Linked DNA regions of Danio rerio. Each later gene encodes a partner of the first gene's protein in a complex. Links are inferred from orthologs where the notes say so. Each region holds a gene or a part of one and is shown in the gene's direction. Other genes may lie near its edges.

The links. Proteins that work in one complex are often made in the same cells at the same time.
Region 2: arpc2 (region 1) and arpc1b share a complex: the UniProt entries of both Homo sapiens proteins name them as parts of the arp2/3 complex. The link is inferred for Danio rerio from reciprocal best matches to the Homo sapiens genes ARPC2 and ARPC1B.
Region 3: arpc2 (region 1) and arpc3 share a complex: the UniProt entries of both Homo sapiens proteins name them as parts of the arp2/3 complex. The link is inferred for Danio rerio from reciprocal best matches to the Homo sapiens genes ARPC2 and ARPC3.
Region 4: arpc2 (region 1) and actr2b share a complex: the UniProt entries of both Homo sapiens proteins name them as parts of the arp2/3 complex. The link is inferred for Danio rerio from reciprocal best matches to the Homo sapiens genes ARPC2 and ACTR2.

The regions. Positions count from the first base shown.
Region 1 is NC_133184.1:49,919,051-49,923,341, reverse strand, and holds part of arpc2 (actin-related protein 2/3 complex subunit 2), read left to right. Parts: intron 1-3,393; coding exon 3,394-3,439; intron 3,440-3,526; coding exon 3,527-3,713; intron 3,714-4,291. UniProt on the Homo sapiens protein: Actin-binding component of the Arp2/3 complex, a multiprotein complex that mediates actin polymerization upon stimulation by nucleation-promoting factor (NPF).
Region 2 is NC_133178.1:39,761,937-39,767,027, forward strand, and holds the start of arpc1b (actin-related protein 2/3 complex subunit 1B), read left to right. Parts: upstream 1-1,842; 5' UTR 1,843-1,947; exon of another isoform or gene 1,948-2,692; 5' UTR 2,693-2,703; coding exon 2,704-2,767; exon of another isoform or gene 2,768-3,626; intron 3,627-5,091. UniProt on the Homo sapiens protein: Component of the Arp2/3 complex, a multiprotein complex that mediates actin polymerization upon stimulation by nucleation-promoting factor (NPF).
Region 3 is NC_133196.1:18,449,204-18,454,189, forward strand, and holds the start of arpc3 (actin-related protein 2/3 complex subunit 3), read left to right. Parts: upstream 1-1,737; 5' UTR 1,738-1,772; coding exon 1,773-1,778; exon of another isoform or gene 1,779-1,980; intron 1,981-2,215; coding exon 2,216-2,315; intron 2,316-2,458; coding exon 2,459-2,535; intron 2,536-4,717; coding exon 4,718-4,786; intron 4,787-4,860; coding exon 4,861-4,986. Other genes in the region: protein FAM216A, read right to left, coding at 1,631-1,737. UniProt on the Homo sapiens protein: Component of the Arp2/3 complex, a multiprotein complex that mediates actin polymerization upon stimulation by nucleation-promoting factor (NPF).
Region 4 is NC_133188.1:6,006,106-6,011,011, reverse strand, and holds the start of actr2b (actin-related protein 2-B), read left to right. Parts: upstream 1-1,657; 5' UTR 1,658-1,738; coding exon 1,739-1,786; intron 1,787-4,906. Other genes in the region: phf10 (PHD finger protein 10), read right to left, coding at 328-434, 1,196-1,264. UniProt on the Homo sapiens protein: ATP-binding component of the Arp2/3 complex, a multiprotein complex that mediates actin polymerization upon stimulation by nucleation-promoting factor (NPF).

The DNA.
Region 1 (4,291 bases):
CGTGAATAAAACATGATTAATCAAAACTTTCATACAAAAGATGATTCTAAGTCAATTTAATTGAAAAACATCTGTGCAGTAACCGTCCATAAATTAGTGCACCCACCCAAGTTTATATGTTTGGGAATAATGTTAAATTAAATATAGTTGTTTTTTTATATGCATTGTAAAAGTATATTAAATAGTGGTGTAACGGATCACATATTTTTTTTTAGTCATGGATCAGCCAAAAAGGGGAGACAAATGTAATTTGCCTTGCATTCTTTTTACAAAAACCCATACATAGTTCATACGGTCATGGAAAACCTAGAACAGGGGTTCCCAAACTTTTTAGCACGCGACCCCTAAAATAACAATGCCAGTGACTCGCGACCCCCAATATCCTCTGAGGTGGTTATAAATACAGAAAACTTGCATGCAATGGCGCACACACACACCAATAGACCAAAGTCTATTCTTCGTTTAATTTTTTTAATGTATTTCAGTGCTGTAAATGGGCCAGAAAGTTTAACCTGGTGTTATAAAATCAATCTGCTGCATCTGACGCTATTGCTGTCTTTAATATAATGTATTTACCCCAGGGGTCGCAATTCAATAGAACAAGTAAATAAGCTACTATAGTAACTATAAATAGCTGTTTTTTTCTCTTGAGTTGTTATGGATAAAATATGGTAATTCTTAAGGTCTAATAATAATAATAATAATAAGTAGATTTTTGGAAATCACCTGGCGATTCCCCCCCTTCATTGTTCCGCGACCCCTCAAGGGGTCCCGACCCCCACTTTGAGAACCACTGACCTAGAAAGTCATGGTATTTTGACATGGCATTTTTCAGGCCTGGAAAAGTTTTGAAACAACAGAAAAACCCACAAAGTTTTGGAAAAGTCATGGAAATTAGTTTAACAAATATCTGTATAGTTGAATTAGGGCTGTTCGATATTGGAAAAATCTGACATTACCGTATTTTTTTATTTCTGTGGTATATATTGCGATGTAAATTGGATTTCACCAGATGATTTAACAGGTTTATTTGGATTGATTGGGGGGATTTTGTAGAGGAATGAATCTCGAATAATATAAAACAAATAAATTACAAGCATAAATAAAATATAGTAAAAAATGAGTAGTAAGTGAATTATAGTTTTCAGGTATTCACTATTCAGGTGCAGATATTGAATAATCAACACTGCAGTGTCTTCATTGTATATTATTTAATCTTTCTTAAAGTATTAAAAAAATTTCCTGTGGCCGGATGTTTAAAATCTGAAATATTGAAATGTTCACACAGTCACAGGCCTTCAAGAGACAGTTTACTCAAAGATTAAAACGTACTCACTATTTACTCACTTTTCGCTTGTATTAATGCTATAGGTGTTATTAAGTTATACTCTTTTTGTGTTCATTTAAAAAAAGAAAACTCATAAATGTTTGAAAAAAGTGAAGGGTTGTAATGAAAATCGTAAGTATTAATTAGTGGGTGAACTTTCTCTTTAAAAATGCATGCAGATGATAAACTGTTACTCCATTATGATTAAACTCTATATTAAACTATAATCCCAACACTGCATATCCTGCAATGTGACTATTGCGGATGCACACATTGCAACATTGATGCTGAAACGATATATTGTGCAGCTCTAACTTGAATAGGTTAGTTGTCTCTGTCCTTTCTCTCACATTGTTGGTGCTGTGTAAGCATTATCAAAATCCATTTGACATAGATATAAAAACAAATGTAAACTAAATAGATTGTTGCGTGTTCTATGATATGCTGGAATAAATTTGAAGGTCGTTGATTTTCTTATTATTTACCATATGCAGATGTTACGTCATGAAAATGTACTTGAAAGTTTTGGAAAAGTCTTGGAAAAGTCATGGAATTTTAGTAGTAAAAATGTGTATGAACCCTTTATATAAAAAAATATGAAAAATTAAAATGAAGAAATAACCAGCTGAATAAAAATAAATTGTAGAATATTCAGTATTGTGAAAGTATGAGTTGCTACTGTTGCTGATAACGCTAAATGTAAAAATCTAACATTTGTAATTTGTACAACCCATGTTTATTTCAGTCTCATTTACAATAAATGATTCAGTTATTCACTCACAAAACTTAATATTTCACTGCTGGATGTGTCATATTTGAAGAATTATTCAGTGGCATATTTTTGATGGCTGGTTGTCGCCACCTATTGGTTAAATGCAATTACTACGTGCAACTTTCATTCTTGAGCATCAAGTTAAATGCATATGACGGTGATTTTAATCTTTACCATAAACATCAAGGGATCTATACTATAAACTGTTATGCTAGTATTTCTGTGTTACTTGACTGTTTGTAATTTCATGACTCAAAAGACTGAAGACTGAATCTATTAGGATGAATAAACGTATGCAAATCACCATCATTTATAATTTGTTGAAAAGTTCCCAATCTTTTAATGATTAAGCATGCAGCTTACACTGATTGCATTAATGCAGGTAAAACAAGTAGCGACAGAAAACACCTTTAATAACCTAAGAAAACCCCCACATCCTAAATAACCTACCACAACTTCTTCCTTCATTACATTTTACAGGAAAGCCTAAATTCTTTTATACATGTGGTTTGATGGATCTCTCTGTAATTGTTACGAAATTAGGTTTAATCCAGAAGTAAAAAATAAAATATTTTAATCCGCTGGTCATGTGTGTTCCACATGGTTGTGATCACAAATCGACCATGATCCGCTACACGCCTAATATTAAATGCAGTTGTCTGATTGCTTAAATGTTTTTGGAAAAATATGTGTGCAATTATGTTCAATCTTCATTGTGCAAAACGTTCATGTAAAAATGCCACTCGTACTTTATCTGTCCTGTGTTTTGCCTATTAAAATTAATGACATTTTGGTAGCATATTAAATATGTATTTAATACAAAATGCAAAAAATCTAAATTTTTAAAAGCTGTATTATATTTTCGTTTGTATAGATGCTTAAACACATTTTTGTCTTTGATCCATGCAAAGTTTTATTGTTCATCCATTCATTTTCCTTCGGCTTACTCCCTTTATTCATCAGGGGTCACCACAGCGGAAATGCCAACTGACCCAGCCGGGTCTTGAAATAGCGACCTTCTTGCTGTGAGGCGACGGTGCTAACCACTGAGCCCCCGTGTCACCCCTATTTATTGTCAGAATTTTAATTTAAACCTTTATTTTGCTCTTTTTTTTGTGTTCTTTTTTTAAAAGTGTCATTTTATACTTGTATAAAAAATCTATAAAGGATGTTTAATTCCCATTTTAAGTAAATTTACATAAATATTTTCACATTATTCATAAAACTAGAGTTTTTGTTAAATTAATTACAATTTTAAAAAAGATTTGTCACCTTTAAATTGGTTGTGTTTCAGTTGCTGAAGCGCGTTTATGGAAATTTCCTCGTGGCACCAGAAGACGGTGAGCCAAACTTTGTTTATTATTGTCTTTATTTTTATTTTTACAGTAGAATTAGTAGTTTGATGGTTTTTTCCCCCCTCTTTGAAGGCTACAACATTTCACTGCTCTTCGACCTGGACGCTCTTCCACCCAATAAAGAGGAGATGATCCACCAGGCTGGGATCCTAAAGAGAAACTGCTTCGCTTCCGTCTTCGAGAAGTACTTCAAGTTTCAGGAGGAGGGTCGCGATGGCGAGAAAAGAGCCGTTGTTCATTACAGGGACGACGAGTCGATGTAAGATACTGAGAGTTCCTTCAAACTGTTTTCATAATCTGCTAGTCAAATGATTGTTTTTTAGGTTAAAAACATTAGCTCTTAAACATTAGCTCTTCTACATTCAGTCGATAAAACATGTAATGAATTTTTCATGCATGAAATGTATACAGTAAAGTCAGAATTATTAGCCCCCTTTTAAGATACTTCTATAGAGCTTAAAGTGGCATTTAAAGACTTAACTAGGGTAATTAGGCAAATCATTGAATAACGCTGGTTTATTCTGTAGACAATTGGGAAAAAAATACCTTAAAATGGTTTAAAACAAATTAAAAATTGCTTTTATTCTAGCCGAATTACAACAAATAAGACTTTCTACAGAAGAAAAAATATTATAGGAAATACTCAAAAAAAATAATTTGGGAAATATTTAAAAAAGAAAAACGAATTGACAGAAGGGTTAATAATTCTGACTTCAACTGTATACGCAAGATTTTAAATTGTTATATATTAAGCAGCAACATTCATATCAAATTTTAATTTAAACAGTTAATAAATCATAGCTTAGACATACCTTTAAACATGAATCCTCATCATCA
Region 2 (5,091 bases), on another chromosome or scaffold:
ACCCACGCGAAGGCAGGGAGAACATGCAAACTCCACACAGAAACGCCAACTGAGCCGAGGTTCGAACCAGCGACCTTCTTGCTGTGAGCACTACCTACTGCGCCACTGCCTCACCCCCAAGAGGCAACATATAAATACTAAATAGAAATGGACCAGGTACTGACCCTTGGGGGACACCATGACATAAAGGGACAGTACGCGATCTGTAACCGCCCATATAGATAAACTGTGAACATCCAGAAAGATAGGCTTTAAACCAATTTAGCACAATCCCATCCACACCAACCCAGTTATGAAGTCTGTCCAAAAGTATGCTGTGAGAAATTGTATCAAAAGCTGCGGTTAAGTCTAAAAGCACTAAAATACCACAAGCCCCCGATTCAGCAATCAGGAGGTCATTTACAACCTTAACTAAAGCAGTTTCTGAGCTATGTCATGATCGAAATAAATGAAATGCATCAAACAAAGCGTTTGCTTGCAGGTGTTCTTGCAGTTGCCCCACCACCACCCGCTATATGCTTTATGTAAGTAACTGCTTAGCAGCCAATAAGAACACTTTAGCAACTGCCTAACAACACCTTATAAACCAATCAAAACACCTTAGCAACCACATAGCAACATCTTTAACCATCTAGAACACCTTAGCAACTGTCTAGCAATGCCGTAGCAACCACCTAGAACACCCTAGCAATCGCCTAACAACCACTCAGAACACCTTAGCAACCGCCTAGAACACTTTAGCAACTACCTAGCAACGCCCTAGCAACCACTTATGGCACCCTAGCAACTCTCCCATAGATTTCCATTGTAAAAAAAAAAACTGCCATTGACTACATTGAACATACTAACAACATGCCAATTCGTACTGGAAACATCCTAACAAGCATACTAATAATACTAGCAACATGCTAATACATACTATAAACATACTAGCAGCATGCTAATTTATACTGAATTCATGCTAATTCATGTTACAAACATGCTAATTCCTACTAGAACCGTGGTATTTATGTAAGCAATTGCCTAGCAGCCACTAAGAACACCTTAGCAACCGCCTAACAACATTTTTAACCACCTAGAACCCCCTAGCAACCGCCTAGCAATGCTTTAGCAACCAGCTAGAACACCATGGCAACCACCTAGAACACTCTAGCAATCGCCTACCAACCACTCAGAACTTCTTAGCAATCAGCCTAGCAATCTCTCAGAACACCTTAGCAACCACCTAGAACACCCTAGCAAATATCTAGCAACGCCTTAGCAACCACTCAGAACACCCTGGCAACTGACTAGCAAAACCCTAGCAACCACCTAGAACACCCTAGCAATGCTTTAGCAACCACTCAGAACAACCTAGCAACTGCCTAGCAATACATTAGCAACCACATAAAACACCCTAGCAACACCTTAGCAACTACTCAGAACACCCTATCAACCACATAGCAAGAAACATACCAGTCCATACTAGAAACATGCTAACATATATGTACATATCTGTATGTCAACTGTTTCAAACTTTAAAACGACTTTCAGACAAGGCTTTCTCAAGCCACCATAAAGTTTGTCTACGACCTTTACTTTTCTGCTCTCTTCCCTTTGAAAAAGTTCTGCTTTCGCTAGCGCCCATAAATCATCAGTGCAGACGCATGACTTAAAAAGAGCACACGTTACACATGCACACCCAAAGAGAATGTGAAGGGGAGTTGAGCTGAAAACCCTCCTCGCCAACAGACAGCCGCCCACACAAGGAAGTGGTTATAAGTTTCTAACAGGGAAGGGGAAGTAGTGCATTTTTTGGAGAGAAAAACGACTAAGGAAATAGTTGAGTTCATTCAGAGCAAAGCCAGCGTTTGTGTTGACTGCTCAGAGTCCACGAACCCAGGCTTCTGTCGCAGGCTTTGTCAGCCCCCCCGCCTCTAGCATCTCTGTGTTTTTACGGTTTCCTGGGTAAGTAGAATAACATATGGTTTTGTTTATCTGAATGTAGAAGATCTGGAGCAATCTCTAGTTTTGGAATGTTGGTGACTAACGTGCACTAACATGCAGAATGACACCCAGGAAGAAGTGTGTTTCAGTATTTTTGACATCTGAGGTTTGAAGCCCATCGCTGCACACTTCCTGAGCATAGAGGACCGTTAGTTGTTTTAGGTGATGCAAACTATGATTCGACAGGAGAGCTGTTTTAAGTGTTTTACTTGGTGACTGAGCATCTGGCCTTGTGACATTCCTTTCTGCTCTGGTTTTAATTTAGTTCAAACACTAAGAAAACGAAGAAGCGTTTGCAGTTACTAAGGCAAAAACTTGTTTCAAGTTTGACCTACAGCAGCAATTAATTTAGTTAACCTATACAGTAATTAACACTAATAGTTTTAAGGAAGTTCTACAGTTCTCCATTTTAGAAACACATCTCTACGGAAGTGTTCTACTTTGGTGGGTAACACTTTATTTTGATGGTCCATTTGAGTATTAGTAGACTGTGCTTAATATCCTTCAACAGGCATTTTGCTATAAGTACGTTTGCCCTAACTAACCTTTACCCCAACATAACACTACTTATAATCTAATGAGGATTAGTTGGCATGTATATGCAATGTAACTTAATTTCAATAAGCGGACAATCAAAATAAAGTGTGACCCTTTGGTGTACTAGGGATATTTACCATTTAATCTCAAAATGCCTATTCATTTTTAGGAAAAGCGACCATGGCTTATCACAGTTTTCTTCTTGAACCCATCAGCTGCCATGCCTGGAACAAGGACCGAACTCGTAAGTTCTTAAACTCGCAGTATCTCTACTCTCTGAAGCAGTTTCCTGTCCCTAGAGCTAAAGATATGCATCAGCATATGAACTCTGTAATCATGTGGGAGCATCATTGCTGAAAATATTATCGATTTCAATGTCTCCAAAGCCCATTTCATCATGAGTCGAATAATTTTGAGGATTTTCTGAATGAGCTTTGAGATTTACTCACAAAGAATGTCTTCTTAAGCCGACTTCTTTTTTTTGTAAACTTTGAATGTTCACCTGAACCTCCGTTGGGTCCTTGGGAGCCCAACAGTCTAATAGTTTGTTATGGATAAAAAGCTGAACCTCCTTCCAGAAATGTGTCAGTATATACAGGGGAATTCATACAGCATTTTTTTTTTGCGTAATATATGGTGCCGGATTGAACCTAGTCAGCAGTTAAATGTGTTTTCTCTTGGAAAATCCAAAGCAAGAACAAACAATCTGCTGTTAAAGGAGCAAACGTCTAAAAGTTGTATCTTTTCACTGCTGCCGCCCTGCTTTTCTTTCCATGCTGATGATGAGAGAAGCAGTAATGACTAATTCCCCCCAGACTTCCTGTTTTACCATGAATGGTGCTTTGTTGCTGATGTCGTACGTCTTCAGCAGACCGCCGAGCAACAGCAGGGAAATGAGACGAATGAGAAACACTTGAAGCTTTAACGTACTGCCGCTGTTAAAAACATGAGCATTTTTGAGCTCACCTATGAGAAATGTGCAAGCTCAACTGCTGAAGTAGATACTCTTTCAGAATCCAGCCGTTGTGCCTGTTTAAAACTCCCAGATTTGCAGTCGTTGCATATGACAGCTTGTCTACTAGCTTGTTGCATTTCCGGTGTTTGAATCAAGTGCAGAAGTTGGCGTTAAAGGGATAGTTCACCCAAAACTGAAAATCTACCATCATTTTGTCATTTTTCACTTCTTCGAAACCAATTTGAGTTTCTTTCTAATCCTGAACACAAAAGATGATATCTTGAAGACTGCTGGTAACTGGCACTAATTGACTTCCATAGTATTTTGAAGTCGACAGGTGCCAGCAACCAGCATTTTTCAAAATATCTTCTTCTATCTTTAACAAAAGAAAGAAAGACTGAAGGGAGAATACATAAGGTAATTTTTCTTTTAGGGTTAACTATCCCTTTAAGACCAAAAAAGTTATAATAGTATAATTGGGAAAATAAATATATTATAATGTGGTAAACATGCAAAAAATTCTTTATATAACAGGCATGCCATTTAATTTTGATGATCATTTTGGTGCTTATACACCACTGCACCAATTAAACGCCTTCCATCAAATTATAGATGTATTATCTATTTTATATGAACACAGTATTTTTTTCCTTGATATCTTTCAATGGGATACTGCACAGAAATATCGACAGGTTTTATTTCGTTTTACTCGAGTCCACTGACCAGGACTTCTGTTTGTAGATTTTTGTTCAGTCTAGCTAGCTTAAATGTTAAATCTCCTCAATAAACTTCCATTTTTCAAAAACAATAGGTGATTTTTAGCATAATATGGGTGTTTTGCTGTTTTTTCTTCTGTTTTTCTGACTAAACAGGGTGGATATACCCTAGAATCAGCCATTACACTATAAGTCAAACAAACAAACAAAAATGCTAACTGAGTGTATGCCAAATATAGAATTTAAGGTTTTTTCAGAATGCTAATCCTACAAATAAGAATGTATGCCTCAAAGTATTCTGTTTCATTTGAATTGTTTTGGGAAAAAAATCTAATTTAATATTTAATTAACAAAACAGATGCTCTCCTCTCACCCTTCCCGGTTGTTTTCCCTCCAAGGCAGTGGTTAATATATGATGTCATTTTATTGTGACAATTTGAATTTAAAGGGCTAGTAATCTCATAACAGGTGAACAATAATTTGAGACAAATTGAAAACATTCTTTGTTTTTACAATTATATACTTTTAATATTATCACTCATATTAAGTGTTTTATCCATCCTAAATAGTGCAAACACGGACCTGGAATGTGATTTTTGGGATGTTTAGGGATATTTGGGATCTTTATTTAAAAAATAAATAAATAAATATGCTTAAAGTTTAAAAGTCAATGATATCATGATCTTCACTGGGGACACAGAATGCACTTAACAGAAATTATGATTTAGCATACTTCTAGCATATTTATGTGTTTAACGTGCTTTAGTACATTGGTATTATGCTTTTAGCAATATTTAGCATTTTAGCAAGAATTAGCATTTTACTTACATGTTTTTAACATTTGATTAGCACATGTTGCTAGCATGATTTAGCATGTTTCCATTGGCTAATTGGTAG
Region 3 (4,986 bases), on another chromosome or scaffold:
CTGTAAGCAGCAGACCAATCACAATAGGCTGATCCATGTGACAATTCAGTTGTTTAATCAAATCTCAACCAAAATACTCATATAAAATGCTTAAGTGTTTTCCTTTTTTTCCTAGGAAGTAGATGAGGAACCCAGCAATTCCAATTTTGATGCGTTCTTCCAAGACACAGCAGATTCTTGAGCTAAGAGCCAGTTCACACTTAGTTTCTTTATATTTTGTCATGATTTCATTGTTTGAAGGATGAAACAATAACCTGTGCTATGCAGAGTTTTATCAAATATTGTTCATTTTTAGAACTGTATATTTATTTTTGCAATAAAAAATATGGAAATTTCAAATGTGTTTTATTTTGCTCAAAATCTTCTTGTTACATTTTATCTTTGAAGTGTAACAACTTTAGAGATCTTTTCAATACTATAGTATTGTTACAATATAGTTAAAACTATAGTATTTGAAGATTAAACCAGTGGGTAAAACTAAATGGTAATTAAAAAGCACCTTGGTTTCTAAACTTTTACAGGAAATAAAGCCATGGTTTGTTTTGGTAACAGAAGACATTGATAGTGACGTTCCTTAAATTTCCAGAATAGTGGTTGATCTTGGTTATTTATTCAGTGGCTGTTAAACTTTTATATTGAACCTTCCAGTCTTGAATATTTGATTTGAACCTTGTTAATAGGAGGTAGGAATAGTTCACGCATCATTTACTCATCCTCCTTTTGTTGCAAACCTATTTGAGTTACTTTCTTCTGTTGAACACAAAAATAAAAGATATTTTAAAGAATGTTGGAAACCCTGAACACTGGAACACTGACCTCATTTCTGGGTGAACATTTTATTAATTGATAGTTTACCCAAAAATGAACATTGTCATCAATTACTCACCCTATACTTGTTTCAAACCTTTGAGTTTATTTCTTGTGTTGAACACAGGAAAATTCATTTATTTTCCTTCGGCTTATACCCTTTGTTGGTCATTGGTTACCACAGCGGATTGAACCACCAACTTATTCAGCATATGTTTTACACAATGAAAGCCCTTCCAGCTGCAACCCACTACTGGGAAGCACCCATATACTCATTCACACACATACACTACATCCAATTTAGTTTATTAAATTCACCTATAGTGTTTAGACAGTGATGGGGAACCAGCGCACCCGAAGGAAATCTACGCCAACACAGGGAGAACATGCAAACTCCACACAGAAATGCCAACTCCCAGCCGGGACTCGAACCAGCACCCTTCTTGCTTTGAGGCAAGAGTGCTAACCACTGAGCACTTTTTTTCCCTGTGGATGTCAATGTTTACAAGTTTTAATTTTTCTTCAAAATGTCCTTTAGTGTTAAACGAAAGAAACTCAAAGGTTTGGAACGACTTGAGGGCGAGTAAATATAATTTTTTGTGTGAACTAAATCAAATCAAATCACTTTTATTGTCACATCTGCAGCAGCATCATCTATGGTGAGTGAAAAGCTTAACTAACCCTTTAAATCTAAAATACTAAAACTGTGTAATCTTTTCGACTGTCGTGAGGTGAAAATACTTTGCGCATGGAACGTTTTTTGAATATTCAATGGATATTTTACTGGATAATCTCTGGGGGAAAGAGAGACTGTAACCGTTACCTTTGGCGCCCTCCAGTGGTTTTGGCGAGATATTGTACTGGAAACTTCCTGTATCGGTGAAGGGTGGGACAGGCGGAAGCGACGGCTTGCAGCGCTGACATATTCATTTCTGCCTGCTAGGTTTGGGACATATTGTACCAAAATGCCGGTAAGAAATATTCACACATAACGATTTACACCACGAGCGCCATTGTTTGCTTTATAGGCGGTTGTGCCACGTTATACGTTAGAGCAGCGGGGAGCTAGAAAATATTTAGCTCTATTAGCCGAAGAGCTAATGTAAAAATCATGATACTCTCATCGTTTTTCCACAAATTTGACAGTTTTACGAATTTATTTATTTATTACATGTTTGAGTTTATCAAATGATCCCAAATATAAACATAGAAGTGTCAGAAAATGCGTTGTTTAAAACAGAATTGGTGAATCAGGTAATGTTGCAAACAACTGGATTTCCTCACTTAAATTAACGTTGTGATTTTTTTCTGTAAATATTAGTCCTTTTTAAAACAAATGTTTGCTCCGTCATATTGAAAAAAAAACATTATTAGTCTTGCGTTTTATGTCATCTTTCACTCTTTTTAGGCTTATCACTCAGCCCTGATGGATGCAGACACCAAACTGGTGGGCAATATGGCATTACTGCCCCTCAAAACACAGTTTAAGGGTCCTGCTGCTAGAGAAAGTAAGACAGGATTTACTTTTGTACTATTTAGGATCTAACAGTTAACTTACTTTGAGATATGAGATGTGTTTAACTCTACCTTAAATGGTCATTAGTAAAGAGTGTCTGACAAACCAGATTTCCTTCCTGTTTTTTATTACCAGCTAAAGACACAGACATCATTGATGAGGCCATTTACTACTTCAAAGCCAATGTTTTCTTCAAGAACTATGAAATAAAGGTAAGGAGCAAATGACCGTGCTGGAAGCGTGAAGGAGCCTGAAAAATGTACTTGCGTGCCTTAACCTGCATTCATAGTTCTGCGCTCAGAGAAGAATTAATATTCACTTTGTATTCGAATTTAAAGGCATGGTTCTCTCAATAATGAAAATTTACTCACCCTCAAGTGTTTCCAAACCTTTATGAGTTTCTTGCATATTTAAGAAGATATTTTGAAGAACAATGTAACCATTGACTTCAAAAGGAGACACAAATTCTATAAGAGTCAACAGGCCCGTAGCCAGCCTGGTGAAAGGGGGGGGGGGGGTCTTTTTTACAAAATGTGGACCTTTTTGATGTTATTCGCCTTACGTTCTATTTAATTCAGTGACATTTTAAGCCCTAGTTTTAGCTAGATTGTTGGGTGGTCATCCTAACCACACTTTTTGATGTACCAAAATATTTTCTAAAGATTTACAATACTGAAATAAATACTGAATAAAGAATACTTATCTTTAAAATACAAATGTATTACATTAGAACAAAAAAATAGGAATCTGTTGAAGTTTTAAATTAAAAACTAGTCTATTGTCATTTGTTAGGCAAATAACAAACTGACCAGTACATTCAACTTTGCTCTGTCAGAAATTTAAAATTATTATTATTTTAAATAATTAAAAATTTAAACAGTAATTACATTTTTGTTTTAAGAATAAGGTCCCAGATTTAGAATAAAAGTTACTGAAATGTTTTCTCTATTTAACAATACAGTAGCAAAATATGAGTTCACATACATTAGATTGCATGTTTTCTTGCATAGATGGATGTTGGAATCATGAAAAATAAATGTTTGCATTGACCAAATAGATTAGCTGAAGTCACACGATGTGATGGCCAGCAGAGCGTTCTGCTTGATCTTAAAGCTTTTCGATGGGTTATTTTTACTATTTATGATGACATAGCAGTCAAAATAGGACAAACAAGCCTAAGCCTATGTAGCAAATTGTGGACCTTTGTCAGTGGGTCTTTCGAACCTACTTTTTTTTTTTTTTTTTAATCTATATCCTCTTTTGTAAGAAAGTAAGTCAAACAGGTTTTGAACTAGTGAAGGGAGAGCAAATGATGGCATTATTTTACGTTTTGGGTGAACTATCCCTTTAAACTGTGTACCTATAAACTGTATGTATGCACATATTATTTACTTCAGTTTATATCAGATTTTGAATTTGTTGGATTTTTGATTGAAAGGGATGGCTCTGTGATAGGTTGCACATCCTCATAAGGGCTCAGCATTAAGCCTTGATGTCTATGTTGGTCACTAAACGGAAATGAAAAAGATATTTTAGTTGATCTTTAATTTGATTTCCAAGGCAGTGTTTTCATTTATAAAGGCCATTTTCCCCTAACTGTATTAAATGTGTGCTTCATTTTAACACAATAAGACATTGTCAGGCTGTTACCAGTTTGAGCATCAAAAACAGTCATCTGTCCACTGGCATTTAGATCTGTTTACACAGACAATAATAAAGCTCAAGTGCATGAATGCATCTACATTGCAAAGTTACTACTTCAGATATGTTATGTTTTTAAACCCTTTTAATGCGCAAGTTTTGAAAAGCTACATTCCATGCACTTGTTGTAAAAAAAATTCTGTCTTTTATGTTTACTTTTTAAAAAAATTATTGGTGACAAAATAAAGTAAAAAAAAAAAGCATAATTAGCAGTTTTGTGTCTAAAAATGCCATGTATTCTAAATCTAAATCTCTATAAGTGTCGTGTGTAAAAGTCATGTAATATCTACTTTTGTCATGTCATATATTTATAATACACATACATACATACATACATACATACATACATACATGCATGCATACATGCATGCATACATACATACATGCATGCATACATACATACATGCATACATACATACTTTCACTTTCACTAAAACATTCCTATACAAGCAGTGAAGTAAAGCCCTGCTCACCTCAAATTAAACATGAATATTAAATTTGAATAATGTTGCTAACCCAAAATATACAACGGAGGTCAATTAAAATCTCGTTCGCTTTACTAAAGGAAGAAATTCAAACAGGTTTGGAGTAAACTGTAATGAATAATCATGACTGGGAAATGTACATTTTGTGTGAACTGTCCTTTAAATGTTAAAGATTTTGTATTAAAATATTATTTTTAACTTGCTTTAGAATGAGGCTGATCGAACCTTGATCTACATCACTCTTTACATCTCTGAATGTCTCAAGAAACTCCAAAAGGTAATGAAAGATTCATACTCTAATAGGTAATGCTTCATACATATCTAACCTTCAATAATATGAATGCTTTACAGTGCAGTTCACGGGGCCAAGGAGAGAAGGAGATGTACACGCTGGGCATTACCAACTTCCCCATTCCCGGAGAGCCTGGTTTCCCTCTCAACGCCATGTATGCTAAACCCTCCAGCAAGCAGGAGGAA
Region 4 (4,906 bases), on another chromosome or scaffold:
ACTTTAAATGTGAAAAATAAACATGCGCTATAGATGCAATATTGAAAACAATAAACAAAAAATACTGTTTGAATTTTACATTTTACAGACATTTTGTGTATTTGTACAGTACTGAAAGGTCTTCACTAATTTGGCGTAAACCTAATCTCTGCATGGAATTGCTAAAATCCTAAATATATCATATTATATTAAATAAGTTCACTTTTGAGAGAACGTCTATTTACATAAATTATTTTGAAGGGAATTTACAGACCAGTGTCAGAAAAAAAACACCTGTAACTGGTGTGTGTGTGTGTGTGTGTGTGTGTGTGTGTGTATTGTGCTGACCCGAGCTCATGGGTGGAAGTGTCACAGCTCCTGGAACTGTCTCCTGAGCCCATCCTGCGCCTCTTGGGGGCTTGACTCCCATCACTGGAGTTCTCCTCAATGTCATCCTGTTTGAAGAGAAAGTCTGTCACATAGATTTCTGTATTCGCAGGCTAACATTAAATAAATTGAGGTCAAGTTTAATATTCGCACATTTGTTCAGTGGCTAATTTTGACATGCACCACAGTGTATCCATATTCTGATGGCTACTTCCAGCAGGATGACGTGCCATGTCATAAAGTGTGAATCACCTCAGACTAACACGACAATGAGTGCACTGTACTCAAATGGCCTCCACAGACACCATATCTAAATCCAACAGAGCACCTTTGGGATGTGGTGGAACGGGAAATTCACATCATGGATAAGCAGCTGACAAATGTGCAGCAACTGTGTGATGCTATCATGTCAACATTAACTAAAATTTCTGAGGAATATTTCCAGTACCTTGTTGAATTTATGCCACGAAGGATTAAGGCAGTTCTGAAGGCATAAGGGGGTCCAACCAGGTACAAATAAGGTGTACCTAATAAAGTGGCCAGTGATTGTTTATACCATGCCAATAAACTAAAAACGACTGTTCAAAACCATCTAGATAAGTCATTGCGGGTCCACTTTTCTGTGTTAATCAATTTACGAAATATTACTCGAAATGCATGGCCTGTTCAGCTACCTCGGCTAACGTTAACAGGCTAATGGTAAACAAACAAAGGCGAATGTACGTCACACTCACGCTGAAACTGTACAGGTGTAAGTACAGTTTTACATTGCTAGAGTGATATATCTGCAGCTTCTGCTAAGAAAAAGTAGTAAGTAAACATCACAAACCTTTATAGACTGGGTCCCAGGAGTTGCAGGATTGCTATCGCACGGTCTCGGCGATAGAACAGCTGCCATGTTGTTATTCTGCGAATGAAAGGGCGTCACATTCCGGCTGGAAACTAGCACAATGGGAACGCGACAAAGTGTTCCTATCTCTAAAAACAAAAAATTGAAAACTAAATATTATTTAATTGCACGTCTATTTTGGTAACTTTTTGGGACAAGGTTTATTTTAATTACAAACTATTTAAAATGTTTTACATTTATTTTAAAATTATGTTTTGTATTAAATTTAAAAATTTATTATTTTTATTATTTTTATTTTTAATTAATTGATAAGACATTTTAAATGTTTTTTTATTTAATAAAATTTGTCAATTATAAAAAAAAAACAGCGTAGGAGGCGGGGCTTGTGTAAAAAAAACAGGCTTGTCTTCTCGCGCAACTGTCTGGAACAGGAAGTGAAACCCTGCGCTGCTGTTTGAGTGCTAGAAGCACTTTGTTGAGAAAGTTCGGCTTCCTCTGACGGCTCCTCTGGGTCTCTGAAAGATGGACAGCCAAGGAAGAAAAGTGGTGGTTTGTGATAACGGAACAGGGGTACGTCCGCAACGCTAACACGCGACGTTTGTCTTGTCGAGCTTTTATTTCGAGTGACATGATAATAAGACCGATAGACCCCTAACAGGAAGTCATGAAAGCTTAGCGCAGCTATAAAGAATGTCTGACAGCTGCTTTCTCTGCTGTGTTATCTGACTGTGGCTTTATTTCTCTGCTTTATATCCAGCTTTCATTCTGCAGCAGACTCGATATCTCATATTCTTTCGTTAGGAGAGAATCGTAGCATGGCGTTGGTTGAATTAACTGCAAATGTCGCTTCATAATACAATAATAACAACACATTGACACAAATAATCGAATTAACTGCATGACCAAACCTTCAGAGCTCATTCTTGCAGCGATATGCTAGCAGCTTTCTTGCATAACATATTATTAATATGAATTTTGCGTTGCTATGGTTACATGCCATTCCCCATTCACTGTGAATGTTGCTGCCACTTGCTTTCAAACTATTTTTGCATATTACAAGCTATGGGTGATGGCACTTCCTCATCTCTCGGTTTCAGTGGATAGGAGCTGCACTAATGTTCAGTGATGCTCAATCCTGGTTAATCATTCAATACATTCTTTGCACATTAGAATAATGCTGATATAGTGAGCTCTGGAATTTCGCTGGTTTTGTCCTGACATCACAATTTTGGCGACGTCAGCATGTTTGAAGCTCAACTCGAGGTAGAAGAAGAAGTAATGTGAATGTTTTAATAATGTATTTTTAGTAAACAAACCAAGTCAGTGAAACAGAGAAGCATGAGTCAGAAGGAAGTGATGTCAAAACCACAGCCTGAAAGCATTTCTCTACATGTCGAATGACCAATGAACGAGCGTGAAAGCCTCCAGACCATTTTTGGAATAGTGTTAAGATGAGAAACAAGACATTACAGTTTTTTTTTATTCAAAGATCTGTTATAAACGATTCACACGAGCTGGAAGAAACAAGCGACTTAACTTCTTTCTTAATGTTCAGGAAGGTTTATTATCATTAGAAGTTTTGAGTAAAAAACTATTGTTCAGTGTCTTAAAGGGAAAGTCAACACAAAATGACCATCCCTTTTAAAAAGGTGTTTTAAAAAGTTTATTTTCTTCTGTTGAACACAAAGAAGACTAAGAATGATGGAAAAAACAACCATTCACTTTCATAGTATTGTATTTTTGATCCTACTACTATGGATGTCAATGACTGTTTTTTTTTTCAGCATTCTTCAGACTCCTTGTGTCTTGATTTGTGTTCAGTAGAAGAAAGACATTTGTTGAAGTTTAGAACCACTGGACTATAAGTACGATTTGTTTCTATTTTTATTTTGGGTGAACTATTTCTTTGAACAAAATGAGGGCTGTTCTCATGATCCTGGTCTGGAAAGTTGCTGGCAATTTTGCAGAAAAGGTTAAATGTGTGAAAGGGCTGATAGTAGTCGTCTAGTAGTACACTGGTCAATCACTTTATTTTCATAGATTTCTTCTTGCAGAATGTCTGATGAGCCTGGATTAAAACAAAAAGCTATGTAAGAGTCTGTGATGACGGATCATGCATAAACTTACAAAAACAATTGCATATAATTGCCATTTTACACTGTAAAAAATGCTGGGTTCCTTTAAACTTATTTTTTTTTTTACAACTTTAAAGGGCCATGAAACCCCCTCGTTTCAGCAGGGTGTTTTCACACCTCTACTTTAGAAAAAGTCAGAAAAGTGGGCGTGTCCAGCTCTGTTTAGGGGGGAGTGTCGGAGGAACTAAAGTGGGATGGTGTGAGAGTGTCTATTTTGGTATGCGCGAGTTTCAGAGTCAAAACACACACACACAGGGGAGAAAGTGACTGTGTTTACATGGACATCTGTAGTCAAATTATTTGCCAAATTATTAAATGCTGGACTTTAACTGCAGTTTGGCTCTTTCATTCAGGGAATTCATTCATGCCCCTCGCGACAAACGAGATATTTGATTCGAGGAACTGCTCTAAGCGTGTATTTTTCATGCAGTGTTTGATACCGCACGGCGAATGAGAGAAAAAAAAACTCAGCATTTCCCGGAAACTTAGATGAACACGGCAGGTAGCGTCAGAAAGCCGCGTGTGTTATTCCGGTCACAAAATGCGGTGAAAACCCTACACGAGGTTAAAGTTTGGTTGTGGTGCTAACGTGTTTACACTCGGCGCAATAGTTCGATACGAACAAACTGAATAAACAAAGAGCACTGGTCGCTCACTTACCAAATCTGTAGAGACAGGACAATCACCAGCAACTAGAGCTGCGTCTTTATTAAGAGGAAACTACAAGCGAATCCAGATCTCAGCGTTTGCAGATGAGAACTGCTCTCAGGTAAACAATGTTCCTCCTTAGACACGCAAGTTATTGTTGTCGAGCGTCGCGTACACTGGTAATCCACACGCGAGTCTGAGCTCTCACAGAGAGAAAATAAAAACAAAACTTAACTGCAGCAAACTATAAAAGCTACACTTCACGCTTGTTTTGCCAGCACAACGTGGCGTCTCTGTCGTCTAAACACTGTGACATTAATGAATATTAATGAAGTTGCACAATAGAGCGCGCTGATTGGTTTGAACCAAGCTTTACTCATGCATTAATGCAGCACACTCTGAGACGTAATAAGACACACTCTGGCACAGATGTCCAGTCTGCACGCTGGAATACAGGCTATTATGTCATGACCGTGACGCAGCTTCAAAAATTTGTTTCAAACCGGAAGTACGAATTTGCTTGAAATAATGCAAAAATAACCAATTTACACTTTTTAGTGAAATATAGGTGTCCTAATAGTGTTTTTAGCAGTGTGGGACACATATACGACTATTAACAGCTCAAAAAATGTGTTTTGGTGTTTCGTGACCCTTTAAATTGATTGAACAAAACAATTAAGATGTCCCATAAAAAAAAAATAAAAAAACTTCAAGAATTGTGTTGTTTTAGCTAGTTTTGTATGTATAAATGCAACAATGCAATTATTTGGAGCTCTTTTAAATATAGAAAATACTAAGAGAGTATATTGCACATTAAAATGACGTCATTATTTATTATTTTAAATTCTGCAGTTGGATTAGAGCTGAACAAAATATATTGCAATTTAAAAAAAAAAATATTATTATT